Linked DNA regions of Struthio camelus. The protein of the gene in region 2 purifies or fractionates together with the protein of the main gene of each other region. This does not show direct contact. Links are inferred from orthologs where the notes say so. Each region holds a gene or a part of one and is shown on either strand. Other genes may lie near its edges.

Region 1 (6,974 bases), about 170 Mb from region 2:
TCACAGATTAGTGCTTCATCTCCTTTTATAGAACTGGCATTGAGTATGTTAGAGAGATGACAAACAAGTCAGTCTGAGCTAGACATTCAACAAGTTGCGCTAAGCCAGTTACACTGAAAATATCAAGCTTATTAGACAGGTGCAGATAGTCACTCACGATAGTACCAGTGACACAATAATATTTCTGCTAGAAAAGATTCTAAAGGTACAGCTCAATATGTTTTTGATACAGAAAGAGCAGAAAACACTGCAAGTGTCTACATGACAAAACCGCAGCAATGTCCAGGGGTAAATCACAATCTATCTTGCATTCATTTCTGTCATGTTGCAGATCAAATTATAACTTGTTAGAAATATTCTGTTACCTTAAAAGAGAAGTATACAACTTATAGAATCAGAAAATATCCCTTTAAATAGTTTATGAACTTTCTAATAGCATTCCATCCTTAGAAACTCATGAGGGCAGTATTCCATATAACCATTTAACACCTACAGCATATGGTTACAAAAGATAAAAAGAAAGATGTTGAAACTTGGAAGTATATCCAGAAAAGTTTTATGTATTCCTCACCTGAAAAAGAAAATGGGACAAAAACCAACCCAAAACATTAAGAGAAGCCCCACTGGATCAGCAAAAAGGCTCCATCTAACTCACTATTCCATCTCTGATTAGTGCTAAAAGAGATATTATTTGTGGTGAGCATATTCCTTGCTATTGGCATGGAATTTGCCTGCCCCGAAGAATTTAGTAGCATCCTCAACCCTGGACATTTCACTCCGCACTCCCTGCTTTGGATGAAGATGAATAAAACTGGTCCCTGCCCTGATTCCTGAGGGATCCTACTACCAACTCTTCTGCATCCTGAAAAGTTACCATTAAGTCCAGCTTGTGTTTACTCACTTTCATAGGGCCTGGTAACGGATGTTGTTGCTAGGCAAGGTCCATATTCTCCTACTAGCAGTGAAGTTTTACACACCCGCTTTTGGCAAACAACCAAACTTTCCTGACAATACAACCATGGCAGCCCCTGGACAACCCGATATATCCCCATCAGGTATACCCCTCCTGAAACATGGAAATGCTCCTGTGGTAACTAATGAGACAAATAAAAACTATGTTCCATTATATCAGTCCCCTGGATAAGTCTGATTCCTGTCAAATCTATGTTAGATATGTATGCTTTGGGTTTATCTACCTATACTTGTGTATTGAGTAGGAAAATGCATTAGTTGAAAAAAGTGCTTCATTATTCTTCACCTTTCATTTCAGTATTTTCACTATAAGGGAATGCTGCTCTTTCGATCATATATTCCACTAGATATCTGCTTTATTAATGACCCTCAACTTTTGAATTTGCTGTCTGTGAAACTCCCCCCTGTTCCACCTGCCCACCCCAAAGTTTATGAAAAATGTAAGACTAACGTGTGCTCTACAGGACACAGATTACCAGAGCGCAGAAACTGACACTCTATTTCTTCATAATTAATATGCATTTTAAGAAGTGTTGACTCACCAGCTAATATTCCTATACATTTACACAGGCAGTATTTAAATCAGTTGTAAAAAAACAACCGCTATTCTAAAGCTATTTCCATTTTTAATATTGTATATAAAAACACTTTTCTGACAAACAATGGTGTGCTGTGGGTTATGTTTCATAGTTTCCGGATGAGGTTAAATCTTGATTTTTTTTCAAGGCTTTGGCAGAGAACCATAGGAAATCATTATTCTGAATAGTCTAAGGGGAATTATAGACCAAAGGGAAGAATGGGCTTGAATTTATTTTTAAAGCATTCTTTCTCATGTTTATGTTGTTTCCAGATCTATTTTGTTTTGGAACACTTTTACTTACAGTAAGTCTTGATATATGAAAAACAAAAACAAAACCCTTCTACAGAATTTTTAGTTTTTATGAAAACTGAAAGGTACCTTGAACCAAGGAGTTGGTCAACAAAGGCACCAAAGACCTGCAAAACTGTTACAATTTCCTTACTTAAAGGACAGTGAATTTATAAAATAGCATGGTCTCAACGAGCACTGAAATGATGACACACCTGAGTTAAATTTAATTCAATTACTCATTTACTTTCTCCCCATCCCATAGGGATCTGTAGTCCCTGGGAATAAGAGAAACCTTTTGTTCGACCCACTTTACTAGCGTTTTAGAACCAGTGATCCTTTGATTCTTTTATCTATCTAGCCTACATGGTTTGCACGCTTTGCCCCATAGCTTATTAGTTTTTAGGACAAATTAAAATTAAGTTTCTCTGTTGATAATATGAATAAGTGAATACGCATCCTGACTTCTGAAGTGGCTAAAATGATTATGAAGCCCAGAAAGAGCAAATTATCAAGGACTAAACAGAAGTAAAAGTTAAGGCTTAAGTAAAAACAGAAGCCAGGAATCGCGTGGAAAAAGTTATGGACATCCAATAGCAAACAGGGTTCGTTTGTTTGTGGCAAGAACACACTCTCACTGTCTTTTTATAGGGCTCAGGTAGTAGTGGAAGAAGAGATAAACACAACTTAGTAGGAAGTCAGCATAGTCTCTCTGTCTTTGTCTCTTTCTGTGAAGCAGATGGGTCACACTTTGAAATCCTTAGCTCATAAAAGCTACAAGGCTAGCATCTGTTTTCTTTCCTTTTCTGCCAGTATATAAAGTTTTGGATTCGTGCTAAAAACAGCTGTGGGGGCTCTTTCTTTTCTGACCTGGAAAAGTTGTTGCAATCCCATGCCACCTAGCATGAGTTTCTAGTTACAGTGGAATTCTGGTTCTGTTGTTCCCCTTCCTTAGTTTCACTCTTACATGCTGAGCCTCAGAAAGACTTGTCTGGATTTTGGGAGTGTCTTTTTTTGAGGGAAGGACAGAACTGTTAGCCTACAGCGGTAGACTATCCACAGCTGACGGGTAGTGCAGAGAATCCACTGCAGTCAACAGACTTTCTGGTTTGTTTCCTCCTTTGCTGTTGCCATGTTAGTGTCTGACAGAGCTGGTGCTGTAATGGAGCAATGTTGGGAAGCTGCATGAGCTTTTATTAGATCACTGCTTCTATGCAGACAGAAAGAAATGCAATGCTCCAACAGCACGCACTGTTAAATACTCATCACTATCATAGCTCAACTTGAAAATAGATTGCGTATTGATGGCGTATCTTTTCACGTCTAAATTTTTGAGGAACCCGGTAACACTGAGTTTAAAAAGGGGATGGGAAAGAAAGAAATGCTCGGGGGCTTCAGGCAGAGTTTGAGAGTCTGCTCTCTGTGCCTTGTGTGACTAAAACCAGATTTAGCCTCTAACCCATCTGCCCTGCTGAGCCAGCCAGCCAGGTGGCAAGCCAAGCCTTGCGTGAGAGGTTTTTGCATGCAACCAGGGGGCAACTCTTAAGTCCAGACTGACTAGGCAGGAAAGACCCACCTGGCAGGTCTCCCGAATGCCTTGGAGGACAGAGTTTGGCATCCTGCTTCTCACGCAACTTTTCAAGGGCTGTGCAAAGGCTGCAGCTGCCACGCCAGGTGCTGAGGGAAGGGCAGTAGCCTCACACCATGCCATGCCATGCTTCTTGCTGCAGGGAAGACACTGGTCGTGACTGTACCGTCACTTCTGTGGATGGGACGAAGCAGCACTGGCCACGGAGGCTCTTCGGCTGGCAGCAGCAGCACCAGCCACCTCGCAGCATCCCCCTCAGAGAAGGCGCCTGTCGAGGCCTGGAGGGGCAGACGGGACAGGTGGCCTGGGCCAGACACGAGGTGCGTTTTGTTCCTAACTTTGCCAGGAGAAGGCGCGTAAAACGCAGCTCCTAAGTAGAGAAGATGGAACACACACCCGTTACCGGGCGAGTAACGCCTATAACGGGCGGGGGCGGCGCGCGCACCCCCACGCTGAGGGGCGGGGCGGGGCGCTGGCGAGCGCATCCTCCTCCTCCTCCTCCTTCCCAGGATTCCTTCGAATTCCCGCTTTGGCGGCCAATGAGGACGCGGCGGGAGCCGCCACGTGACGCCCTCCCTCCTGCGGGGGGGGGGGCGCGCGCGAGACTGCGGTGGGTGCTGGGTGGGGGGCGGAGAATCGTCGCGAGAGCGGCACGCACGCGCGCCGAGAGCGCGGAGGGGGGGCGGGGGGAGGCGGCGGCGGGGGGCTGCGGCGGTAACGGGGGCGGGCGGGCGGGCGGGCGACGACGGGGCCGAGCTGGGTGTTCGCTCTGTTGCTTTAGGAGGCGAAATGGCTGCGGGCGCCGGATGCTGAGGAGGCAGTCAGGTACGGGGCGCCCGCTCTTCTTCCCCCCTGCCCTCTTCCCTCCCCCACCGCCCCCCTTTTGGCGGCGGGGGGCGAGGCGGCCGTTGCTTCCGTCCGTGCGCGAGGCTGGGGGAGCCGTTGAGGGCGGGGCGGCGGCGGCGGCGGGGCAGCGCTGGCTCCCGGCCTGCCGGGCGGCGGGGGCTCGTCCCCACAGGTGGCTCCCGGCGGGGCAGGGAGGTGAGGATGCTCTGCCCCTTCTCCGCGCTCCCCTCCCCCCGCACCTGCGGGGAGCAGAGCCGGGGGTGCGCCGCTGCTGGCTCCTCCCCGGCGGGCTCTGCCTGGCCTCGGGCATGGCGCTTCTTCACCGGCCCGGCGCTTCCCTGCGCCCGCGGTGGGAGCAGCGCGCCTACCTGAGGGGAGCGCAGCGCCCTGGGCCGCGGTGGCGGCGGGGCGGTGTTGGCGACCCCCCTCCGTGTGGGCTGCGCAGCGGGGCGCGGCGGGCTGCGCCGGAGGCCTGCCGGCCGGGGAAGTCCGCTAGCCCGCTCGGCGGAGGCCGTCTCGGCTGCCTAGTGGCTTGTTTCGTGGTTGATGCACACGGGTTCAATAAGTTCACCTCGTCCTCGGCGTTTAGCATTTTAAAAGTGGCTTTTCTTTTTCCCCTTCCCCATCCTTCTCCCAATTCCTTTCCTTGCTGAAGAGAGGGGGAGGGAGTGTTGTGCGTTCGCTTTCTTCGCTCTTCTGTGCAGCTCTCTCTATGTCTAATGAAGTTACTTCTTTCTGTAGGTTTCTGTGGTTTTCCCTAATATCTATTTAAAAAAAAAAAAGGTTATGAACTGCGGCTGTAGATCCTGTGCAATAAGATTCGCATTGAAGCCTTGAGATATTATTGCAGTGCAAATAAATCACTATGAAATAGGGTGAAAAATAAGTTTTATTTTGTCTGGGAAAGATCAATAGTAATAAAATCAATGGTAGCACAGTGCACTTAAGTTGTCCATATTAGAGTTGGAAAGACAGTCTTACTTGGGTTGAAAGTTTATTTCATAATTATACAGTTAGTCTTTAGTCTTGTGAGAGATACTGTTAGTATTAATTCTTGAGAAATTACCTATTTATAAATAGTGCTGGTCCCATTTGTCCAGGCAAATTCCTTGGTCTTCATCCATGAGCAGGCAAGGTGACTTTTTGAGACTTAGTAATGAAATTGTGCTGTCTTTTCTGATAAATGATAATATTTTTTTTTATCCTTTGTAGATTCTTTAAAATATATTGACAGTTGGAAGAGTATAGCAATGGAAAGTCTTGCACAGTATGGAAAAATAATAAAAATAAATTAGATTATTCCCTCTTCCTGTTAATCATTTGGTATGTTACAGTATTAAAAAGACCCTCCTAAACAGGGTATTCTCTGGCAAAGTGCTTCTCCAGGGGAAATAAGATTGCTTGAAAAATGTAATGCTACTATTGAAATGCTGTTACTTACACAATCATTTTAAAAAAAGAAAGTTTAGCTGTGTTGTGTTACACAACAGAATAAAGTGCAAAAACATGAAGTTAATTGCATAACCCCCAAAGTCTAGACTAATGGGTGTTTTTGGTATGTTAGGTAATATTTTTCTTAAAGGCTATATTTGAGAATTCACCCCGCCTCCCAAAAAGTTTCTTATGTTTTAACAGGTGTTCTTTATGCTTTAAAAGGTTTTCTGGTGTTCTAACAGTTGAGAGGTCTGCTTGCTTAGATGATATTTAATTTGATTTTTTTTTTCCCTGTAGTGGCTTAAAAATGTTTCCTTTAGGTGAACAAAAGCAAATATCCCTTTTGTTTAAAGTCCTCCTTGTGTAGTAGGGAGGAAAAGTGAAAAACAGTAAAAGGTTTTTTGAAGGGTGAAGGAAAGGGAATGATTCTATGGTTCTTTAGTGTTGCTACAGTGGCATTCAACTGATTAGTGCTATTTTTATGGCTCTGATGCCATCTGTGTTGCTGATATGCAATTAGAAAGTAAATAAAAATCATTTTAATATTGAGTCAACTTGCACAGGGAAAAGATGAGTACTTGCTGTTTACTATAGTGAAAGAGTTTATTTTTCAAGTTTTGGAGAAGATACAGCGTGAGAAATGTTAATATTTTCTATAACATTCTATGGTGTAGTTATTTTATGATAAAATGTGAAATGTTTATCATTATACTGTAGCAGTATTAAAAGAGACAATTTTCTGTGGTAGTTGCTTATCCAACTTTTTTAAAAATAACAAAGAGGTTCAATTCAGGGTAGATGGAAAACTGCAAATTTTCCAGATTTTTCAGCCATATATTCTGGAACAAATGGCTGCCCTTTTTTTTTTTTTTTTTTTTTGAAATGATTGCCTGTTTTAATAATTGAATGTTGAAAATCTTTTTTACAAAAAGAAGGCTAAAGACAGTGATGCAGTATGCTGGCAATACCACTGTAAGAGTGGAATCAGTGAACCAAAAGGGAATGGAGGTCTTTTTATAAAGAAAATATTTGAGCCAAATCTTCAGGTAGATCTTAGTGTACAATTGATGAACAACAGTGCTCTATTTTTAGACCTTATGAGCATAGTAACAAGCATACTTTTAATTGGAATGTGTTCTGAAGTATTTCAAAAGATGCAGTTAATGAATTGAGGCACATGTAGTTCTGACCAAAAAACAAAGTCATTTAGACTTTAATTTATGTTTTACTTAATGCTGGAAAAATATTTTTAGCAATGAACTAATC
Region 2 (7,605 bases):
AACTGATACAAATTATGTGGGTCTTTATCCATCAAAATAAGGTACACCTTAAATTCTAAATGCTAATGTAAGGAGAAAAGTATAGGCATTTGAAAGCAGACAAATAACTTAGTGAGCATCTTCAAGTTTTGCACAGATACAGCATAATACGTTGTTATACACATTTCAAACTTTCAAAAAATTAGAGGAATTTTCTAAAAATGGGCTCAATTTTATGTACGCTACTGTAACTAAGTCCTATCCAATTTAAGTAATTCCTACTAGTATTAACAGGAGTTATTCCTGCAGATTGACTAAAACTCATACACCTGTGTAGGACAACTTAATATTAAAGAAACTAGAAGATCTCAAAATCATTTCCAAATTAAGCAGTGTGTTCAGAAGGTGATACTCTAAATGTTCTGAACTTGAACAATGTTGCTTCAGAGGTCACATTAACTACAGGTGCTAATTCAGAATTACGACAGCAATACTGCAAAGAACTGCAAGCCACACAAGGTAACGGTCTTAATTGTGGCTTGATTTCTGCAACTGATGTAATGGACACAGACTAGGACCCGAACACAGTTTAATTCTTGGCTCGCATACAACTCTTAATCCTGAGTACGGTAAATTTCTTAACATAGCTTATACCTCAACTCATCATTTCTAAAATGGAATAATGCTTATGTATCTTACAAAATATATTTCAAGGACAAAACTAATGCGGACAAAGTGTTCAGCTGCAGTGTTTGCAGGAATTCAGAAACATGTACTGGAAAAAAAAGGAGTTGGAGACAATAGCAATTACAACAAGCCCCTAACAACAAGGACCTGTTTGAATAAGCAAATTAGGAAATATTGTCAAGTTGATTTAACAAGAATTCTGCTTCAACAAAAAAGGTACTGCAGACAGGTCTAAGCTCCTTGCCGGAATTTTTTTTTTTCATTTACTTTTGCTTATAAACTCTCGCAATTTGTTTTCCTCTCTTGTATGACAACAGTACACCAGTAGGACAGACTGATTATATTGAAGCAGTCTGATTACTCACAAAGACAAAAGCAAAAAAAAAAAAGAAAAAAAAACAGATTTTTTCCTCCAGCTTGCATTCAAGAATTGCTACTTACAAAAACAGAAAGTAAAAGCAGAAAAGAAATACACTTTTAAATAGATATTTAAACCCATTAAACAATGATTTAAAGACCAGGCTTTATGCCTCCACTTATTAACAAAAGGCTGAGCGGATGCATTGCTGTGCTACTTCTGAAGAACAGATATTCAAGGTAGATGTAAAACTTGCACTTAACATACACTCTCCCGTGCAATGTGTGTGTGCACAGGCACACACTTATTAATAATTTACTATAATGTACTCATTAATACACCTTCCATGTGGTTTCAAAAATATTTCCATTTTCATACTTTCAGTTATTAATTATTCCAACCGGCACAAATTACGAGTCACAATATAATTAAACTTTCAGAATATATTAGGCTTTTTTATTATAATTTCCCAATTTTTGCCGGTGTTATAGACAACATAGCGTCAGAGTTCAAAATCACCACGTACATCTGCAGAACCTGATGGACGGATTCAAATTCTCATTAATTATACACCCCCAGCTACAGCTGCAAAGAAGAGACGAAAGGAATGCCGACTATATTACAGCGTAACACAAAGCATCCCGAAAACTTTCCCAGTTCTTAAACATCCAGGGTTTTTTTCCTGATAAAATGCACGTAAGACATTATTTTAAAAACGACACTGATACTCATCTAGCAAACAGCTGGCTTCTGTGCTCTGCTGAGCAAAGCCACCTTCAGCATGACCGAGGAGGACCAGTCCTTCGATGACCTGATGAGGTATACTTCAATTTCAAGCTGCTCAAGCTAACGATAAAGATGCTTTGACGCCGTCTTGCTCTTCTCCGGCGCACCTTACACCGACGGACCTCTCCGCGAGCCTGCTGGCGGCACAAGGACCGGGTGCCACGCACCCGTGCGGGACAGCTCCCGCTGGTCCCATAAATCGGGTTGGTCCGGTAGATGGACACGGTGCTGCTCGCTCACCCGGGCAGGCACACCAAGGCCGCACCAAGGCCGCCGGCTGCCGGCAGACAGGTGTTGCCCTCGGCTGGGAGCGGAGGCGGCGTGCGCGCGCCGGGCTGCCCTCGCCGCGACGCCCGCGCCGTAGGCCCTTCTCCATCCCGCACAGTTTCCACCTGACTTTTTCTTTCTTTCTTTTTGTTCCTCCCTAAGAGATTTCGCTTCCTGCGATTCCGCTGTGCTGATTTATACGAACCACACGTTGCGGCCACGGAAAATGTTTGACCGGGCTGCGTGGACGCAGCGACGCGCCCAAGAGAAAGGTGTTTCGTGAGGTGGGAACGGCAGCGCGGCGCTCGGCTAATGAACAACCACCACCACCACCACAAAAAAAGCAACCCCCACACCCTTGGCGCCCCGGTGGCCTCCTGGCAGCGGCGGACGAGCGGAGCGCCCCCGGGGCGACACCCCCGCCGGCCCCGGCGCCGCCTTGCGCGGGGCGCGGAGCTGCCAGCGTCGGCGGCCGGACAGACCCCGCCGCCCGGCCCGGCCCGGCCCGGCCCGGCCGCCGCCCGCGCCCCGGCCCCGGCCCCTCACCCGGGAACGCCTCCTCCTGCTCCTCGCCGCTCTCCGAGTCGCTCTGCATGGGCTCCTCGGCGAAGTTGACGCCGCGGGCGTCGGCGGGGGCCCGGCGCGGCGGCAGGCTGCCCCGGGCGCGGTCATGGCCCGGCGCGGGCGAGTCCCCTTTGCGGCCGCTCGCCTCCTTCTCCTTCTCCTTCTCGGCCGCCGCCTCCTCCTTGAGGCGCCCGAAGTACTGGAGGGCGAAGTCCAGCAGGTCCGCGGGCTGCCTGCGCAGCACCTCCACCGTGAAGCCCTGCAGCAGCTCCGTCAGCCCCGCCGGGATGGAGATGCTCATGCCGGGGCCGGCCGGGGGCCGCAGCCCGGGCAGGGACGGCGGGCGGCAGGCGGAGGGAGCGCGGAAGGGCGGGCAGAGGCCGCCGAGCCGCAGCCAGCCGGGCAGCACCGGCAGCCCGAGGCCGAGGCGGAGGCGCGCCCGGCCGGCCGGCCGCCCGGGGCAGCGGCGGAGGGCAGGGCGCAGCTGGCAGCCGCGGGCGGGCGGCTCGGCGGCGGCGGCGGCCGCAGCGTCTCGCTCCGCTTCGCCCCGCACTCGGCGCGGCGGCAGCAGGCGGCGGCGGCCCCGTCCGTGACTGAAACCTCCCCGCCCCCGTCCCCGCCGCCGCCGCCGCCGCCGCCTCCCCCCTCCCCTCTCCCCGCGCCGAGGGAACCTCGCGCGCATGTGACCCGCGAAACCATGACAACCTCCCGCCGGGAACGGCGGCCCGCAGCGCCCCCGCCCCCGCCCGCGCCCGCGCCCCCGCCGGCAGGCAGCGAGGGCGGGCGGCCCCGGCCCCGGCCCGGCCCGGCCCGAGCCCTCGGCGCCCCCCGAGGCGGGAGGCGCCCGCAGGGGGCCAGGGCCGCCCCGGCCTCGCCGCCCGGGCCCAGCGGCGGCGGCGCCGCCTCGGCAAGGCCGGAGGGCCCTTGGCGCCCCTGCTGCGCCCCCCTCCGTGAAACACCCCCCGGCCCGGCCCGGCCCGGCCCGGCCCCGCGCTGGGCTCGCTTTTAATTGCTATTGTGCTTTTCTCAGGGAGGCGTAGCGCGTCCCGTTCTGCCCTCCTAAAGATGTTCCCCACACCATTCATATACCTATACATACATATATATACATGTATATGCATCTATTTATGTTCATATATAGAACTTAGGATTGGAGGGGTTAGGAAATGCATCCTGTTGGTCAGCTGCTTGTCTAAACGCATAAATAATGCAGCTGGAAAAAAGAAAACAGTTGTAATAAAGACCGTGCACGTAAAGAGCGCCGTACGGCTGTGCTCGGCGTAAACCCTTTCGACTCGGGCCGCGGAGCGCCTAGGACCCTTGTGGTAGGTGCTGCTTGTCGTTTCTGGTGAGCTTCGTTTTTTTAAAGCGAGTAGCAGTTGCGGGTGCTGTGCTTTTCCATCAGGCTTTGCTAAACGCTTCCTGAAGGCGAGGTCCTTGAAATGCATGAAAAGTGCATCGCTCCGTAATTGCTGATCACAAAATCTGGCCAACCTTTTGAGGGTTCAGAAATTTCTGTTAGAGTCTTATTTTCATGCACTAAGAGAATTGACTGCTAAAACGTCTAAGGTTGAAAGTGCTTTGTGATAATTGATTTCACGAAGCATTCTGGATTACTCAAATTGCCTTGAAATGTATTCCATCGGGGCTTAGGGTGAGGTAAGCAGTCAAAATTTGTGTCCGTAATAGCAAGGAGATACTGAAAGACCTAGCTTGAAGAAAGCCACATGGCAACAAAATATAGCAATCTTTTCATGCAAATGAGGATCTCAAAGCCATTTTTAATTGAAGTAGTGTCCAGATGGAATGCACTGCTCCCCGTGGAAGCAATTTCAAATTGGAGTTTGTTTTGTAAGCTGGATCTTCAAACTGTTCTAGACCTGCCAAATGAATGGGGAGAGTGATCCATTCACGCATGGCGATATTGCTGCTCTGTACTGAGCGATGGAGTTGTGGAATACCTTTGAGCAACATCCTGCCACTACTGGCTGCCAATGCCGCCCGCCCCGTCTGCCTTTACAAATCAGCGCAGGGGTACCATGCAGCCACGTGTGCTACTGGGGACAAGAATCAAGGGCCACAGGAGAGCTGGCACCTGTATGTTACGGACAGTTGCACACCTTGGTCATTCTAGAGGGTGTTTAGCTATAGCTAGAGATGCCAAATTGGCTCACTTGTAAGTTTAAGGGGTGCATAGCTTAAAAGCCCTCTCACACCACTAAGAGCGTTGACCTGATCGTGATCAGGTTGAGAGATACCCAACTTGGAGGAAACCTCCAGAAGGGGAAGTATCTGACACTAGGTCCAGCTAACCACTTGGCACCTTGCCGTTGCAAGGCGTTCTTTCAGCCTGTGATACTCCATCTACTGGAGTCTTCAGGGGCTAAACGCATAGTTATCCCTGAGGTTTTCCGTTAGCCAGACAGAGCTCTCTATTACTAGGAATTTATCAGCAGCACAGAGTCCTTCACCCTCTGATCAAGGATTTTGCTGGCTTGCTAGGGCCTCCCATCCTCCTAGGCATGGTGGAAGTGAAAGGAGATTGCTTCTCTGAGGACATCCTGAAGAGCCAGGCTTTGCTCTCTACTTTTTACTCTTCAGGGACGCAGCCACAGTCTGTCTAAGGAGCAGGAGCTAAACTCCAGTGAATCTCTTAATAAGACTGGGGACTTGATGATACAGCTATCAGGATCTGGAAAGTACAGCTCTGATACACTCATTAGCCAAGAGGAGACAGGGGTAGGGAATGATCTACAGTGATGTCTTTCTGTGATCAGGAGCTTGGCTCCAAATTTTGAGTTATCACTTGTCCTTCTTCACGTGTTCTTAGCTTTATTTTAGCAACCTGTGAAAATCCAGAGGAACCTGTGACCTCGATCAAAAATGTCATTTCCTCTATCTAGCAGTAACAGACTTAGCTTTTGTAGGAAAGCCCAGTGATGATTTTATTTGGACACTGGGCTACCCTTGCTGCAGGGAGGCCTTCTCCTCCCCACACTATTTGTTCTTGTCCCGCACAAACTCCAAGCACTTTGTCTGAAAGTCAGCAAACATAATGCCAGTGGTAAATCTTACTTGTTCTTGTGGCAATGCAAAAATCATAGAGTAGTTCCCACCTTCATCAGCCAGTGTATTGGGCTTATCAGGAATGAATATATTTCAGCTGGGTGCCCCGATTCTTTTCTTGCCTTCCTTTCCAACCTGCATCAGTACTAGTCAGCAGAGGAGTCAGATGCCAGGCAACGTAGGCATGCAATATGGACATAAAAAGGGCTATTCCAGGAGTCTGCAATGTTGTTGCACGTGGGCCCATCCTGTGTCAGCATCCTGGACGCAGCTCTCGGAAGAGCCTAGGAATAGTCTATCATGTCTATCTAGGGAGTTGATGCAGAACAGATACTACTAGCATTCCCTGGAAACAAGCAATTTTCTTTAGATACATCTACTGGAACAAAGCATTTCTTTCTCATTGTTAGTTTAAGCCTTGTTCTTGAAAGATTTCTAAAACTTCTGCTGTGCACGTTACTTGGGCAGAAGGTTGCAGCCAGCCTTCTTCAAAACCTTTGCTCCGGAATAGATTTTTTTCTTGAAAAAGAAGTATTTCAAAGTGCTCTGAGATCTGTAAGCATGCTCAGATTGTTTTGAAACGATTTTTTATTCTTTGGGGGAAAGGTAAACATTTGAGGTCTTTTGGCCAACAGGATTAGACCATTGATGGAGCACCTGGTTTTAATAGGCAAACTGTTGTCCTGTTGGTGGTCTTGGTGTTAGTATGCAAAACTGGGAAAATTAGAATAAGAGATTCCAGATAGGTGGTGCTCTAAAGAACGATTTTTTTTTTTTAAATTTTCAAAACAGCCTAAAATGCATGTATCTAGTGAGACTTATCTTGAGTTTTGGAATATCTCAAAGAATGGCAGTGAACTTTGTGGTTCACATTGCTGTCATTTGGTTACCTTAGAAACTTTCCGTTCCAAGGAGCTTGTCCTGACATGTAAATTGCTTTTAAATCCTCATAGGGAGGGCAGTTCCCCAAAATGTATTATACTGTAGCAGAACAATCAGTTAGGTAATGAGAGGATCGGTTCACACCTCTCTGACCACCTTTGTTAGTTTGCACTAATTTCTGTGTGTCATTCTAGTTCAAATGAAAATGTCATCTTGAAGTGAAAGAGCATATAAAAACTTCAAAAATCCTTCTGTACAGCAAAGGGCTTGGGCCCAACATTACTCTCACAATAACCAAGAAAGTGAAGTAAAGACTCTTGTGGTCTCCTTTCCTGCTACCCATCAATGCATTCCCCATTACACGCAGGTTACCAGCCTTTGTCTCAGTCTGTCCCTTCAAGTGATTTGAGGTATGGAAGAACTAAGAGAATACAACTCGTAATGAAAAATAGGAAGCCCGATGCCTCCTACACGACAATTTCAGACAGCGTGCTTTGGACAGCGGTTGGGACCGCTTCTCTCAGAGGTCAGAGAACAAGATCTTTTCTGAGCATGTAGAGGACAATGAATAGAGTGCAGAAGGAAGAGAGGACAGACTTTAAAGCCTTGTCTTTGTCAGAATAGATTTAAATTTAGTAAATTTAGTACATTTGAGCAAACTGAGTCCACCTAACAGCCGACAAGGCTTCCTCTTGCCAAGTTCCAGCTGATCTGAATAGCTTTCTCCCAACCTTCCAAAGACGTTTTCTCCAAGACCCATCTTCTGATTAACCCTGACTAAGCTCTGGCGTGCAATTCATGCAATACATAGTGGGCAGAAATGTGTACTTGACACCGTGAGTGTAAAACTGTATAAAGCCTTTTCTCTAGAGTGGAAAGTAACTTTTACAAGCATACTAGTGGAGTACAGGCTTTTAAAGAAACTCTCTATTACCTTCTTGGAGGTGAGAAGAACTATTATTATCTGCTTGGATCAACTGCACAGCTAGCCCAGAAATAAGGGACCTGAATCTCTT
Region 3 (7,615 bases), on a different chromosome or scaffold from region 2:
CAATAATGTGCAAAGGATCACACATTAACCTAGATCTCAGCAGAGGTCAGGTTTGGTTTTCACTGTCCCAGTGACTTGCAGGATGACCTGAGACAACTTAAACCATTGCTTTTGGGTCATTTCCTTGTCTCTAGAGAGAAGCTTGTGATATAGATCATCTTATGAGCAAAGAGGTTTAAGACCTTCAAACATAAAGCACTGCCAGTGAACTGTTATTACTTTACTATGCAGTTGGCAGCAACCTCTCCTACAGAAGAAAGTGTAAATCTATTTCCCAACCAGCTTTTATATTCACGACAACCTGCCATCGTCCAGATGCGCAGTTCATTAGCGATCGTTTAGTTTTATCTGGCCATAAAAGCCCACGTAAAAAACCTGCTGATTGAGCATGCAATTCAAATACATCTTCCGGAGTCCAACAGACAATTCCTAGCGCTTTATCTGCATTGAATGAAACATAATCTTTGCCACTTAGAACACAACAAAGCTAGATTTCTTCATACTTCTCTTGAATTGCTAACACATAAAACAGAAACACAGCCCATTTTCACAGTGAAGTTCTCTTCTGAAACAGTTAGTATATTAACCAAGAGTATACAAATCTGCTTCAAAGCTAATAGGCTCTTTTCCTTCCAAACACACTTCTTCACATCTGTTCATTCTCGCTCTCTCCACTTCAATAGCAATAGTATTTGGTAAAGCTCTCCAAACTGTAGCCATTGCAGAAAGACTGTATTTACTGATGTTTGGGTAAGAACTAATAAGAGACCTGGTTGTGTCTCTCTTCCTCCAATTCCAAAAAAAATCAAGTCAATATTTATATACTCACCGGTGAAATAAAACCCCTCTCCCTGGAGGGGAGGGAAATGAAATGAAGTGATTGAAATGGATTTCACGGAAGGAGATTTTGTTTGCTTGCTTGCTTGTTTTGAGAGCTGGGGAGATTATTTTTTTTTTCTTTTTTGTAATTTAAATGCAATTGTATTGCACAGAGTGCATCAAAGTGACTTCACAGTGGGAGCTTCCATTGAGGACCAAAAGCTCAGGAGCCTTTGCATGCTGCTTGACCCATCGCTGTATTTAACAGAAGCTAGGCTCAGGTACGTAAGGGGCTGGAGTGTCTCCATTCCCACAAAAAGCTGGCTCAGGATGCACCCGGCTCAGCCCTGATTCAGGTCGAACCCTCAGAGCGGAAGCGGTTAACATTCCAGCAAGTTAGATACAGAATAAACAATTTAATCAGCATTGTTCTAGCTCTCCCAAAAGCTCATCCAAAGTCTGTTAAGGGCCAACGGAAAGATTTGCATTGACTTCTCAGGCCTTTAGAACATGCTCTGATTTTAGTAAGACTTTTTGCTTGTATAAACCCATGGCAAACTTCAGCCTTTCTGCTATACTGTGCCTTTGAAAAGAAAAGGGCTATGGATAAGAGATTTGCTTTTTGCCTGTGACAAATTGCCTTGCTGGTCTTCCCCCTCCACCTACAATGAGGCTCTGGGGCTTGTCTGTTTTGTCTGATTCATAAACCCTTTCATTAAAATAATAATCGAGCATTAGGTACCCTGATCCCACCACCAACATGTCTGTTGAAGGTAGTTTCCCTCTGCCAAAGGCAAATCCTACCAAAGCACACACCTGGGCTGACTCTCATACAGCTCTGCAATGCTTGAATTTTCAGTGTGAGCTACTTCCATGGCAGCCAACTGCAGTATTATGTCTGCAGCATGATTAGCATCTCCGCACTGTGCTTAAGGATGGAACAAGAAGCCTTTATTTATAACTTTCCTATCAAAAGCATCTATTGTTCAACCCTACCTAAGAAAGTCACTATTACTGTGGTATTAAATTGTTTTCAGAAAGGACTTTGAAGCCTTTTGCACAAGATAGCTAAAGTTTGTATAGCAAAAAGGGTCACTGGGATGTATTTTACCCTAGGCTGCTGAAAAATCGTTTCCTGGGCTAGCTACTAGAGCTGGCAATGTATCAGCTCTCCTGATGTGGTTTAGGAGCGTTTAAAGGACCAAACTTTTTCTTGACGTAAATTGACGGAGTACCACTGATTGCAGCCAAGCATCCCCCATTCGCCACGTAGAGAACTTGCAGCAGATTTGTAAGTACTTGCAAATAGAAATAAAAACATAAACACTGAATGCTCCATAGATTCCTCTCTGCCCTTAAAAAAAAAAAAGTGGGGAGGGATTGAATATTAGCAAAGTAAATCTGACTTTACATTACAAAGCACATCAGGAAGATAAACACAGTAAGTTTCCTGTTATTTGTTAAATTGTCCCAGTCCAACTATGGCAACTTCCTCCTACTTCTAAATAACATGCGGACAGAGGCTTGCATGAACAGCTTCAAACTAGCGAGCAAAATCCACCAGGCAAAATCCACCGTTTCCACTGCTCAAAGTTACAGCAGAAGAACTGCAATGAACTTCAGTGAGTTCAGATGAATCTTCTATTCATGTAACAGCACTGAGAATTTGGCCCTTACATATTTCAGAAATGTAACCAAGGCAGTAAGTCCTCATTTGACCAAATCAAAATGTTTTAAAGCCTGTTTCCTATCTTCCCAAAGTCTCTGGGAGTGAAGAGGAGCCTTGTCATTGACTAGGGTTAGATCAAGGTCAAGTTTTACACTGCAAAACCAAGAGAGAGATAGTGTTTACTCTCCAATTTCTCAGAAAACCGTCAAATCCCTCTTCATATGGAACATTTCATTTATGCGTCATTTACAAACTTTTCCACTGGCAAACTCACCACACTTAAAGATTTTCCTCATACAAAAAGTATATTTTGTCAATACCATCTCACTTCATATTAAGCCTGAACACCCATCCTTCTTCTCTTATATTGTTCTTCTCTAGGATTTATTGTGAGCTAACATTAAGCTTTTTTTTTTTTTTTTTTGCTTGTTTATACCTAAAAGGCAGCTTTTCATCTCACTCTATTTCTCAGTGTCTCATAGGAAACTCTTCTCCAAATGGCTCTGTCTCCTTTCCCACCAAATCCCAGCTTTACCACACAAGCCGGTCCAAAATTCACGGCAAGACTTGCGTTAATCAGCAGAACAGAATAAGCGAGACTATTTAGTACTTTACATCTTCAAAGACTTGAATACGCAACAACTCTTTGTTAGTGTTTTCCTCGGTGGATGTGCCCCAGGCAGGGAGTGGATACAGTGCTCTCTCTTTAATGCTGATATTGCGCACCTGATAGCCGCGCGGTCCAACGGCTAATGCATCCTCAGTAGGTAACTGATGTGGGTAACGTGGCTCTCATTTCAGCCTTCCCTAAAATAACAAACAGAAAACACCCAAACCAGCCATCCCCATCAAACACACGGCAAACAGGTCACGAGTACAAAAAACGCTTTGATGCACCTACCGTGCCTTTCATCAAAGCATCCTGAAAGCACTTTGCAATTACTAATGTGATCCCTAGTTCATCACTCACCCACACAGTTTTCCCTCATTTACCAGCTGGATATGCAGAAAGCCCCAAAGACTAAAAGGCGCAATTCTGAAAGAGATGCCTGAGCCGTCACAGGTTCCCCAGAAATCCCTGAGCGCTTGCGCATCCCACCCCACCTCGGAAAAAAACAGGCCATTAGTAACTTGTCCCGTCCCAATTACGGTGAGTAGCAAAGCAAGGAAAAGAGCCCAGGACTCCTGCTCTGCAGCCCCACAAGTCCACCGAGCTTCAGCTCAACACGCATTGCACTCGGTAAGTATTGCAAAACACACGCCTGGCCTCGGTACACGGTCAGCAAAGGGACCTTGTGGAGAAAATAAACAGTTTCTCTGTACTCTTCACCCCTTCATCTTGACCTGTTTTTTTTTTTTTCTCTCTCCTGACATGCCATTATTAAACAACAGGAACAAACTAGTTTCTGTGTAAAACCTTCCCCAAAGTAGTTGGAAGATAGCAAGAAATGCCAAGGTTTCTATTTTCCTCCCCCCTCCTTTTTTTTTTTTTTAAGGGGAAATAACACGGAATTAAAATATTTGTAAACAGCACTGATCAGCATTTTATTTTATAACTTTTTTAAAAAAATTTTTATTTTAAATCCAACAAAGACCCCCCTCTCCCCCTAGGAATACTAGGAGGGGACTATGCTGAAAATTATAGATTCCAGAGTTTGCAAGAGAACCACAAAAGCTTAATTATAGTTATTGACATACCAAACACCCACTGAAGGCTTAAGCTTCCCTTGGCCAGAAATAACCACACAAAGCGAAGGTAAAAAAAAAACGACATCAAACCACCTCAGCTAGGGACAGCTTATTAAAGCACCGAAGACATGCCTTGCTTGCCTCCCCGTATCTCAGCCTAAAGGAGATGGTCGGGAGGGAACAGTTGCTGTCATCCCACAGGCAGACTTTCAAGCCGGTTTGTTTAGGGCGGGTTTTATCCCCCATCAGGTAGCTTTGCACAAGTTACCCCTTTCCAAACGCCTCGCTCCAGGACTGTGGCTTTAACAAAGGCCCAGAAGAGCTCCTGACTGCTGAGAGAACCAGCGTTCATCGTGACCGTGCAGTGCATCCTCGCTACTCCCCGACTGCCTGCGTCCCACCCTCCCCAGGGACCGGCAGCAGCGATTGCGGAGGGAGGTGGCTGCAGGAGAGGCTCTGCAGGTAGAGGTGCGACACCCATGGGAATTAGCAAATGTCTGGACTGCTCCAACCCAGCCCTTCCCTGGCCAGGCCTGTTTGCTCTCGGGATAGGGGCTGGCAAGGCCTGAAGGAACGGCGCTTGTGGGCAGCTCGCTGCCCTCTGGGCAGACTCCACGCCGCCGCCAGCTGCAGTCAAATCAAAGCGTGTGTGTATAAAGCGATGCTAAAAGGGTTAGAGAAGGTGGAAGCATCAGCTGGGGTGTTCAGAGGGAACCTATGGGAGGCTAGCGAACATCAGCCCTTCCGGAGGGACCCTAGTCTTAGGTCGCTGCCACGTGGCATCAGCTGAGCATGCTGCTAAGGGGGCCCAGCCTGCTCCACAGCTATCAGCAACTTACGGCCCGTCCTGCTGCGCTTCTCACGAGCAGCCTCACAAAAACTGCAAACACCATCTTGAGACAGCCTCGGAAAGGCAGGGAAGATCCAGATTAGCAAGGCAAACTAGACACAAGCAGCAGTGAGGGCTTGGTCACTGCCAGAGAGAAAGGCTGATTCAGAGCTGGGGAGACATCGCTACTAGAAATGAGCTTGCCATCGAGTATTTTCACTCACTTTCATTTCATCAGCCTGGAAAGCCCTCATCTTTCCTCCCTTGCCTCCCAACCATGGGATGGCATCTGAAGGGATGGAGATGCCTATTCAAGCTGGGCTACGTTTGCCTAAGCCTTACAAGCTCATCACCTTCTACTGCAGTCACGTAGCCATGTTTGTGCAGTGGCTCTCAGTGCTCTTTACAAACAACAGGCTGGACCACAAAGCCCTCACTCAACTTAGAGAGAGTGTATTCATGCAAAAACCCACAAGGAAGCTTCTAGGACCAGCAGGAGTAAATAACTGACCGCGGCAACACGTGTTTCACATTCACGTCAAGTACCTTGCACCTCTCCCATGTGATTGTTGAAGACTGGGGACAAAGGCCAAGGGCCAGACACGCTCCACCCCAGGTGGCGACTATGCTGCACTCAAGTGATGTAGCTACAAGGACAGCAAGTTCAGGTGGACCAAAGTCAGCTCTGGTGCTCTCAGCCCCCAGAAAGTCCCCACACTTATTTTTTCCATTGAGTGACATTGCCCTTGCCCTGTACACTGTACAGCACAGATGTCATCTATGCAGCTTCATCACTGGTCCCTTCCCAACAGCCTGCGGGTTTCGACACCATATCTGTTTCATGCAGCAGTGCTCACATGACAGGCTTTGATGAGAGCTGTTCCCCAGCCAATCCACACAGCAGACAAAAACCTTTTGTAAGAAGGGAGAGGTCTGAATTAACCCTTTTTTGTGGCAAACTTTATGGCTCGTACATCCAGGAAATTTGTCACTTAACAGCAGGGCCCAGTGCCCAGCATCTATCCTTGCTTACATGCTATTTAACTGGTGGCACATCTGTAACCTGAGACACAACCAAGAGGCTGCAGTAAAACTTCTTTAGAAGGGATACAGCCAACGCTGGGGCAAACCAGAGATCTTCCAAGGAGAAGCGTGGTGCCAACAAACACCTAGCTCTGTGGCTATAGCAATACTTGGTACTCTAATTCACAACAGGGATGAAAGAACTCTCCCTAAATCGAGAACAGAGAAAGAAAATAGAATGAAAGTCAAACCTGAATGGACTGGTTATTGAAAACAGCAATACCATACTGATTTGTCTTTCATCTTCTATGCACCAGCTTTAGTCCACTAAATCACTACAGAATTCACTGGCATTATTCCTAATTTTACAGTGATTTGGGAGAAGGGGGGGACAAAGGCAAGCAAACAAAATCTAACTGCCTTCACTGTTTTGTTTTTCTGGTTTTTGTTCAGCCAAACAAAGAGGAGGTTCATGTCCAAGCTGACTGTAGAGCCCACAGAATGCTTTTGCTCAGATGATCTCTTTAAAAACAGTTTGCAAATTTGGCACCCAGCATCTTCAGCAACTACCATTTGCGAGTACTTTCTTATCTCCATCTGGTCACTATAAAAACTTTGGTGACTTTAGTTACTGTTGCTACAGATTAATCAACTTGCTAAGTCCCTCTAAAAGAGCAGGAAGTCCTCCAAAAACTGATCCCTTGGTCATAAAAAGAACAAAGCCAGGAGTAGATTAATCACGATGTTATTTCCAATGCAAAAGTCCAAGCAGAAAAAGTCTCAGTTTCAATAACAAAGCTCACCCATCTACACCAACATGCTTTCGTTCTTGGTGTCAGAGAAGAACACGCTGAGCAGAAATCCAAGTAATACAGCAAGCTGTATGAGAAGAGCATGCTGGTGGAAATAAGCAGCAGAATACAGACTATGTGAACCACAACCAACCAATACTGCCAGGTTTGGCTGCCTTCCCTGTGTCCGCCAGCGTCTAAGATTTCCCACTGCAGTATGAGCCAGGCAGCAGGACTCCCAGGCATCACGTATGTGTAGCACAGGAGGAGGGCAAGGAAGGGGGAGTCTAGGAGTGCAGCCTCAAGCTACTATTGTTTTTAGTCAGGAGTAAAATACCAGGTGGTTGAACACAGGCACGCCAAAGATATTATGAACTGAGCTCACCTAAACCTGACAGACACTAAAGGAAAGGCAAGATCACAGGATGTGAAGGAATCTGGTGATGAACAGACATGGCTATCTCCATATGCCTGGGAGAAGTTTGCAAGCCTGTCTCAGTGATGCAAATTGGGATTGGACAGACTGAAAACAACCACCTGAAAGAAAGGCCAATTTTAACAGTGTCACCTGTCCTAAAGCGCCAAAGCCAGAAGAGCAGCTTTGGGAAGCAGCCTGGACATGATGCTGATGCAACGCCCAAGGACCAGCATTAGTCCTTGCAAAAATATCCTTTAAAAATACAACCTCTAAAAAAATCAGAAGCCAGAAGGCAAAGGAAAGGAACCCCAAATTTATTATCTTTGTCACATCCTGGTGAGTGTGAATTTAGGCTGTCGGGAAGTTGGCATTGCCAA
Region 4 (7,101 bases), on a different chromosome or scaffold from region 2:
AAACACAGGAAAAATCAAATGGCTGGGTCCAGAAGAGAGCTATCAGGAAAAGGCCTAACTGGGATTGACTTTTCCAAGCTCTGGTTTACTGACTCAGTTGCCAAAGGCTACTTATGTTTAAGGTATGGCCATAAGACTCCAGGCCACGGTGCAGTGACTACCTTTGCCTTAGCTCTGCTGGGCTCCATTGCCTTTGCTCTAATTTGCTTTCTTTGAAGCTCCTCCACTTGCTGGCTGTGCTTCCCCCGCTCCTTACAGTAGCAGCCATGGAATTTTTTTTTTCCTTTCCTTGGTGGAGAAAACCCTCCAAGGGCAGTTTATTAACTGCTCCCTACCCCTACTAGAGCTCAGTCATTCTCAGAAAGAGGCCTGGAGTGCATTTAGCACAGCGTCGAGCAAGTAAAAGAAAGGGCTTTTCAGTTCTCCTCACAGCAGCTAGCACATGCAATGAGAAGGCAAGGAACAGTTCTGTGCAGTGTGAGAGACCCACCCAACTATCTGTAAACAGACATGACTGAACGTGGGCTGGAGACAGGGCAGAGACAGCAACACTAAGGCAAAGAAGAGGCTGGTTCAGAGCAATACAAAACATACAAAAGCTCCAAGTCTCCAAAATACAAACACAAGGAGGCCACTGAGGTGGCAGGGGCAGGACAACAAAGTGAGGGAAGGAACCTCTTAATTTACCCAGAACATATAGCATCTAACGCCTCAGTGCAGTAGGGCTCAAACAGCAAAAGTATGTGCTGTTGAATATTGACTTACTCACGTGAGACGCAGCTCACCCAAAGGTGAAAAGGGGCCATCACCCCGCTCTGTGCATTCTGTCCCTCCGAAAGCTGCACTGGATCTGTTCTCCAGGTCTTATTCTTCTCTGCTCCTCCGCACAGCCAGGCCCATCCTTGTTTCTAGTTCCTGGTCTCATACAATTCCTGAAAGAGGGAAAATTACTGCTATTCCCTTCATCAAGTACAGTGCCCACATGGCTGCACTACTCCGAGGAACTCCTGTACAGAGACAGGCATGGCGCTCAGAAGTGATACACCCTCTCACCCATGGTAGCTCTCTGCCTTTTGCATGGAGATGAGGGGTCTGTCGTGGCTGTGGGAGTGGGACTCTTCTGCACTGCAGCATTTGGAGCAATGACCCACTTACAGACAGGCGAAACCAAGCTTGGGCTAAGAGAAGGGAACCTGCTGTATCACTCTGACGCTTGGATCACATACCCTGCAAAGCAACTCAGCAAATATGCTTCTGTTGGCTTTAATTTTCCAGTTCTGTCTGAGATGTTAATGGGTATACCCGTGATTTACAACAAAGGCATAGGTAAAAAAAGCAAGAATAAATTAGCCTTGAGGATGCTGACATAACTTATCTGTTCTTTTCTTGGTTTCACTAATCCCTTTTTCCTTGTATGGGGCCAATTTTTCTTACCAGAAACATCACTAAAATTTAACAAGCCACCTAGAACATTTTCCCACTCATCGAAAACTCAGAAACATGTACTGTTTCTGCATGAAAAATGTGACTTATCAGCCACAGAGGCAGTTATTCATTCTATTAGCAGTTTGTTTTATTTGACTTTTAGTTATGACTTCCGTATTACTCAACAGAATTTTATTTTTTCGTTTCACTATAGTAAAGCTTACAGACTTCAACTAAGATAAGCGCTCCACTAGGCTATGCAATCCATGCAGGGTAAGATATCGTCCTTGCCCCAAGAACTTAAAATGTTTACAGTCACTTCTTGTGGCTGACACAGATTGTCTTCGTGACCTTGGATAAATCTCTTAACATCTCAATACCTGAATTGCCTCACTCAGTTAAGGATTGCAGTCACTTGACAGGAATTCTTATACAATCTTCTGAGATTTTCAGATTAAATATATTAAAAGGGCAAAGTCTTAGCGTTGCTGGCTTTTTTTTTTCCACTTCACACGTTATGCATTTTACCATCTGTTAACTGATGTTTCTAATTTATGACTGCTCTAAACAAAAGAAAATGATTTAGGCAAACCAGGAACTTTTCATAGAAAAATACTTATACAAATGAGTAATTTGGGAAGACAATCCCACTCAGACACTATTTTGTGATTTTTTTTTTCTAAGTTACTCATTTACACTGTCAAACGTACTAACTGCCTGCTGCATACACATGTAAATGAACAACTGAGCAGTTTTAATTCCAGTTACTAGTAACCAGTAACTGGTTAGTAAGGCCAATAAAACTACCTTGATATCCGATTGTTAAAGTGTTCACAACAGTAGATTTCCTGCATCATTTACTTAACTTTTATTATAGCATGCTGTTTACAGCTGGGCAATATAAGAACTGAAAGAAGTTATGTAGCATGAAACCTTGGTTACTGGAGAAAGGAGGCTAATTTTGAGCAATTTGTTGCTATCAGACGAAGATGACAAACAGGCTCTCACAGGTACGCAGACTCTAAGGATGACGATTGAGGCTTTCACATACTGCTGCAGCTCCTGCTGGTTATCAGCAGGAATTACTCTGTTTTAATGGCCGAGTCCTCACTTCTTTCTCTGCTGTCCCCTGCTACCTCTTCTTCCCCAAAGCATGCTTGCATGAGCCATCTCTCCCTTGCCTATTTCTTCCCTCTGACTTTGCCACTGAGTATCAAAATGATAAAAAGCTGCTTGAGTCATCCCCTTGGGAAATCCAGAGCCACCTCTGCTACCAAGAAGGCTCCAGTGACGAACCGAAACCAGTTTTCTCTTCTCACAACATAGAAACAAATGCCAAATGGGTGCAAGTAAAGCGGTTTCCCCAGAGTACATCTCAGTGCCCAGATGCAGCAGGTGCCCTCTGGTTTGCAGCAGGAGCAAAAACTTTGCTAGGCTGCATGGAAAAGAGAAGCATCGTAGAAAAAAAACTGATTCCCGTGACTCCTTGCCTTTCCATGCAACTGTGCTGGATTATTTGGAGAGAGGCTTCACCACTCCCAAACTGCTCTTCCCACAAAGACTTGGCATGGAGGCCACGCTCCTCCTGTTCTGGGTGTTAACAGTTTTATTAACACAGAAATTAACAACGCTTCACCATTAAGGTCGGCATGGTGAAGGCATGGCCGCGGCTCAGATTGCTCAGGCCGCACCCTATATCCTTTTCCTCTTCCATACCAGTCCGCAGTGCAAACTCCCAAGCTCCTTAGAGTAACGACCACCACTTCTCGCACTCTGCTCCAAGTGACTTGCCCAGAACTGTCCTGCAAGCAACCCTCAGAGCGAGGGGCAGAACCGGGCCCTGCACACCGCTCCTGGGCGCTTTTCAGCTGCGCTTCCCCTCCCCAAATCCTCCAAGATTCCTTGGGACACAACAGTCATTTACACACCGTATTTCTCTTAGGGATGCAAAATGCTCACGGTGGGATGTAAAAAGCTCTGGGGGGAAATGTAGTTAAGTGTTTAGCAATGAAATGAAAACATAACCCTCATTAAACCCAACGAGCACTACTGCCTCCAAGCAATTACCTCGCTGAACATGGATTTTCATTTGTCAATCCGGTTCAGCCGTGGTAGCAGAGACTCGGCCTGGCATAGCTGCTGCCTTACCCGACGGCTTACTATTTAACACCTCCTCATCAGCTGGGCGCCGGGCAGCACGTGGCTAACACTTTGCCTCCTAGCAGAGATCTGACTACGCGTCTGAACGGCCTGGGGGCCGTGGCCAGCGCCGAGCCCCATGAGGGGACGGTCACAGGCTGCGGCTGTGGGGCTGAGGAGAGCCGCACAGTCCCGGCGGGGGGCAGGGCTGACAAAGGCGCCCGACTCCGCGCTCTCTGAAGGAGGGAAGTCAGCCACCGAAAGCCCGGCGGCAGCGGGAGGCGCAGCAGGTCCTACCCCTCCGCAGGCGCCGCGGGGTGGGGGGGGCGCCGCCATGCCGGCGGCCGCCGAGGCCCTCGCGCGCGTAACGGCCGCTGCGCTGACGGTTGGGGGGGGGAGGGGACAGAGGGGCGTGCGCAGGCGCGCGGGCGGGTCTCGCGCGGCGAGGAGCTCTCGCGAGAGTGGGCGGGGCGGGGCGCGCGGGGCCGGGCGGGGCGGGGCCGGGCGGGGCGGGGCGGGGCGGGCGCCGGTGCAGGTCGGAGGCGCCAGTGCGCGGCGGGGCCCGGCCGGGCGGCACGTGGGGACGGCGCGGCCCGCGGCGGGCGGGGGGCGGGCGGGAGCGGGACTGGCGCCGGGCACCGGGCACCGGCGCGGGGGAGGGGGAGCGCCGCGCCGCACGCACTGTAAGTACCGCACCCCCCCCCCCCCCCCCCGTCCTCAGCCCCCTCCCTGGGCCTGTCAGCCGCCAGGCCGCCCCGGCGGGAGGCCTCCGCGGCGCGGCGCGGGCCTGGCGGCCGCTCCCTCAGCCAGGTCGGGGCGGAGCGGAGCGGGCCGGGCCGGGCCGGGCGGCGCGGGGCTCCCGCCGGCAGCCAGGCCGCGCCGGTGACCGCGGCGGGCCAAGGTCAGGGGCGGCGCGCTCGGGGCCGGCCGGCCCGCGGGTCACCCCCGGCGGCGGCGGCGGCTCGGAGAGGAAAGCAGGGGGCGAGCGGAGCGCCGCAGGCTGGGTGCTACCGGTGGGGATGTCTCGCGTTGTCTGCGGTGCGATAAAACTCACTCATAGTCGGGTAAGGCCCCGTCAAGCTGGTATTGACAAACTTCTCGTGTATTGGCCTTTTTTGTTTTTTTGGTCTTTATGGCAGTGTATAGCGTGGTGTGTAGTCAAGGCTGTAGGAATTAAATTGCATTTCTCCTCAGGAAGTAATATCCTACTGTCCTTGCCCTTCTGGAAGAAGTTTTGTTGTTTTGCTCTTTATTTTTTCCTTGAGGGAAACAAGTCTAAGCTACTTGTGTGCCGGGGTTGGGCAGCTTGGTCTGGGTCTGGCTTTCTAAGGTCTTTGTGGCAACCTGGTAAAGCATAATATGAAGCTGCAGCTGTGGCAGGGCAGAATGAGTAGGCATCTCGCTAAGGGCATCCTTTTCATGGCAGGTGATCTGCAGTGATAGGAAACAGCAACTGAAGCTGCACGCTGCCACGATCCACATGGCAAGGAAAAGTAAGGGGCCATCGGATGGAAGTAATTCTGACTTTCTGCGTTTCTAGGCTCGTGTGCTGCCTTCGTAAGGTTGGCTGTTGTGCCTACACCTGCTGGGTGTTATCAGAATTGCTGTGGACTTTGTCTCAGGTGAAAGGAAGTGGCTTGTTGCTGGGGAAAGTGGTAGCAGGAGAAGGTAACTTTACTTTTCTCCTGTTTGCTTTGTGCCTGTGAATGATCTACTGAGTTACAGCCGTATGTCTGGGTGCAGTATAGCCAAGGAAGAGCACGTGACTTGCTGGAGTGCAGCACAACTGCTTGTAAGGGGTGTGTGACTTTTCCTCGGTAGCACGTGGATTGGAGCTGTCAGAGCAAGGGAGCTGAGTGGCATTGGCTCCTCTGCCAATGGGTCACTGTGTGACCCTGCTCAGATCACTTAACCTCCTCATTCTTTAATGAGCTACCTGCGTAATGGGTGAAATACTCTGTAGCCTTCAGCTGACCTAATGTGCCTTTCATCCAGTAATCTTAATGTACATATGATGTAGCCTGAAAAAAAGGATAGTGCAGTTTCACTATATGTGTCTTGATTACACAGTTTTATTCTTGATTAATTGGCTTACATGTAAGTGCTCACCTAATGCTGAAGAAAATTAAAACTCTTTAGTAAGTTAAAAGGAGCAAGAAACCTGTAGAACTCAAGTTATGCTGTAAGCTTACTAGAACCCACCTTTTCATTACATAACTTTCTGTACCACTCACCTGACAGTCCCACAGCTTCTGTTTCCAGTGCTCCTTTGAGCTCTCCAAGGACTTCTAGAAGCTCTCATGAGACAGCAAGGCTTGGGGGAGTTGGGCACGCCAACCTCACTGTGGTGGTACAGTACCTTGCCCAATGGGGCCAATGATTGTTTGCTCTGCCAGACGTGAAACAAAATCCTGGAAGAGGCTGTCCAAGGATATCATTAGACTCTGGAGGAGCTGCATGAGAGGGCTGTAGGAACCCAGGTTTTGTGTGTTCTTGTAGCTGCTGCTTATTTAGGTGTGCTCTCTGTAGTCGCACCAAGTTTCGATACCTGGCCGAGGATCCATGTTCCATCTTAAAGCTACCTGGAGGTGCTTTGGGATAGCTACGTTGAAAGTCTGTCTCTATCCTCTTTCATCAACTGCCTAGAAAGCCTGGGCTTTAACCTAGGCGTTCCCCAAAGCCTGAAGTTAGACAACAGGAATTCCCCTTGCCAGCCACAGTGTGAGATGAAGGCACCTGTAGTTCAGATCCATCATGCTACATAGGTTCCTAATTCCTGCAGGTCCTCATAGGAGTTAACTATGAGAGGAGTCTGGTTGTTGAGGATTGCAGCCAAAGCTGTTCAGAGCCAGAAGCAGGTGACTTGCTACACTGAGACTCTTGTGCTCATTTCAAAAATGTTGCAGGCTGTCTTTTGGGATATTTGAAACAAGTCTAGTTTTTGCAGTAGTAGAGTTATCTGAAGAGCGTAATGCTTTTAAAGCAACATACCCTACTTATCTATAGCGCTCATCTTCCATGTGCGCTTAACTAATGTGAGCAATTTATTTAAGGTATTTCTAATGTCCATGGAGACTGTAATAAAATCAGGCTTGGTATCCCCAGGTGCCCTCCGCAACATCTAGAAGTAATTAAAAAACATGAATTACTTTCAGTTATTTAATGTTTGAGATCTAATGGCTGGCCTTCTTTAAACTGTGATTTCTAACTACAGTGCTCGTGTGGAACTCTTCACGCAAATGGCCTGGTTAAACTTTGTGAAGTGTAACTTCAGGCAGCCAGTTTGAAATACTTGTAAGGAGCTGTTTTATTCAGCAGGTGCTTAATATTTCCTGGAAGTTAAGGCTATTGAGTTTGCTTTTCGCAGGGATCCCAGAAGGTGATAGGTTTGCATGTAACTCATTGCTTTGCAGTCTGTGTTCAGCTGCTCTACTTATTAATTGTCCCCTGCAGGAGTTCTGTGCAACTTTGCTGCTGCATTTTATACACTAGCTGGAAGCTGACTATTAATTTATGGGATCTGTACATCACTATTGG

The links.
Region 1: the proteins of PRKAR2B (region 2) and AKAP11 purify together in Homo sapiens (affinity purification with mass spectrometry; 3 studies listed by BioGRID and IntAct, counting the BioPlex papers as one, with this or other methods). This does not show direct contact. The link is inferred for Struthio camelus from reciprocal best matches to the Homo sapiens genes PRKAR2B and AKAP11.
Region 3: the proteins of PRKAR2B (region 2) and CDK5RAP2 purify together in Homo sapiens (affinity purification with mass spectrometry; 3 studies listed by BioGRID and IntAct, counting the BioPlex papers as one, with this or other methods). This does not show direct contact. The link is inferred for Struthio camelus from reciprocal best matches to the Homo sapiens genes PRKAR2B and CDK5RAP2.
Region 4: the proteins of PRKAR2B (region 2) and AKAP1 purify together in Homo sapiens (affinity purification with mass spectrometry; 3 studies listed by BioGRID and IntAct, counting the BioPlex papers as one, with this or other methods). This does not show direct contact. The link is inferred for Struthio camelus from reciprocal best matches to the Homo sapiens genes PRKAR2B and AKAP1.

Annotation. Positions count from the first base shown.
Region 1 is NC_090942.1:189,553,147-189,560,120, forward strand, and holds the start of AKAP11 (A-kinase anchor protein 11), read left to right. Parts: upstream 1-3,954; 5' UTR 3,955-4,038; intron 4,039-4,109; exon of another isoform or gene 4,110-4,253; intron 4,254-6,974. UniProt on the Homo sapiens protein: Binds to type II regulatory subunits of protein kinase A and anchors/targets them.
Region 2 is NC_090942.1:16,003,410-16,011,014, reverse strand, and holds the start of PRKAR2B (cAMP-dependent protein kinase type II-beta regulatory subunit), read right to left. Parts: upstream 3,012-7,605; 5' UTR 2,943-3,011; coding exon 2,624-2,942; intron 1-2,623. UniProt on the Homo sapiens protein: Regulatory subunit of the cAMP-dependent protein kinases involved in cAMP signaling in cells. Type II regulatory chains mediate membrane association by binding to anchoring proteins, including the MAP2 kinase.
Region 3 is NC_090961.1:7,999,410-8,007,024, forward strand, and holds the start of CDK5RAP2 (CDK5 regulatory subunit-associated protein 2), read left to right. Parts: upstream 1-4,596; 5' UTR 4,597-4,602; intron 4,603-7,615. UniProt on the Homo sapiens protein: Potential regulator of CDK5 activity via its interaction with CDK5R1. Negative regulator of centriole disengagement (licensing) which maintains centriole engagement and cohesion. Involved in regulation of mitotic spindle orientation.
Region 4 is NC_090957.1:20,970,741-20,977,841, reverse strand, and holds the start of AKAP1 (A-kinase anchor protein 1, mitochondrial), read left to right. Parts: upstream 1-4,080; 5' UTR 4,081-4,099; intron 4,100-4,170; exon of another isoform or gene 4,171-4,247; intron 4,248-4,500; exon of another isoform or gene 4,501-4,628; intron 4,629-7,101.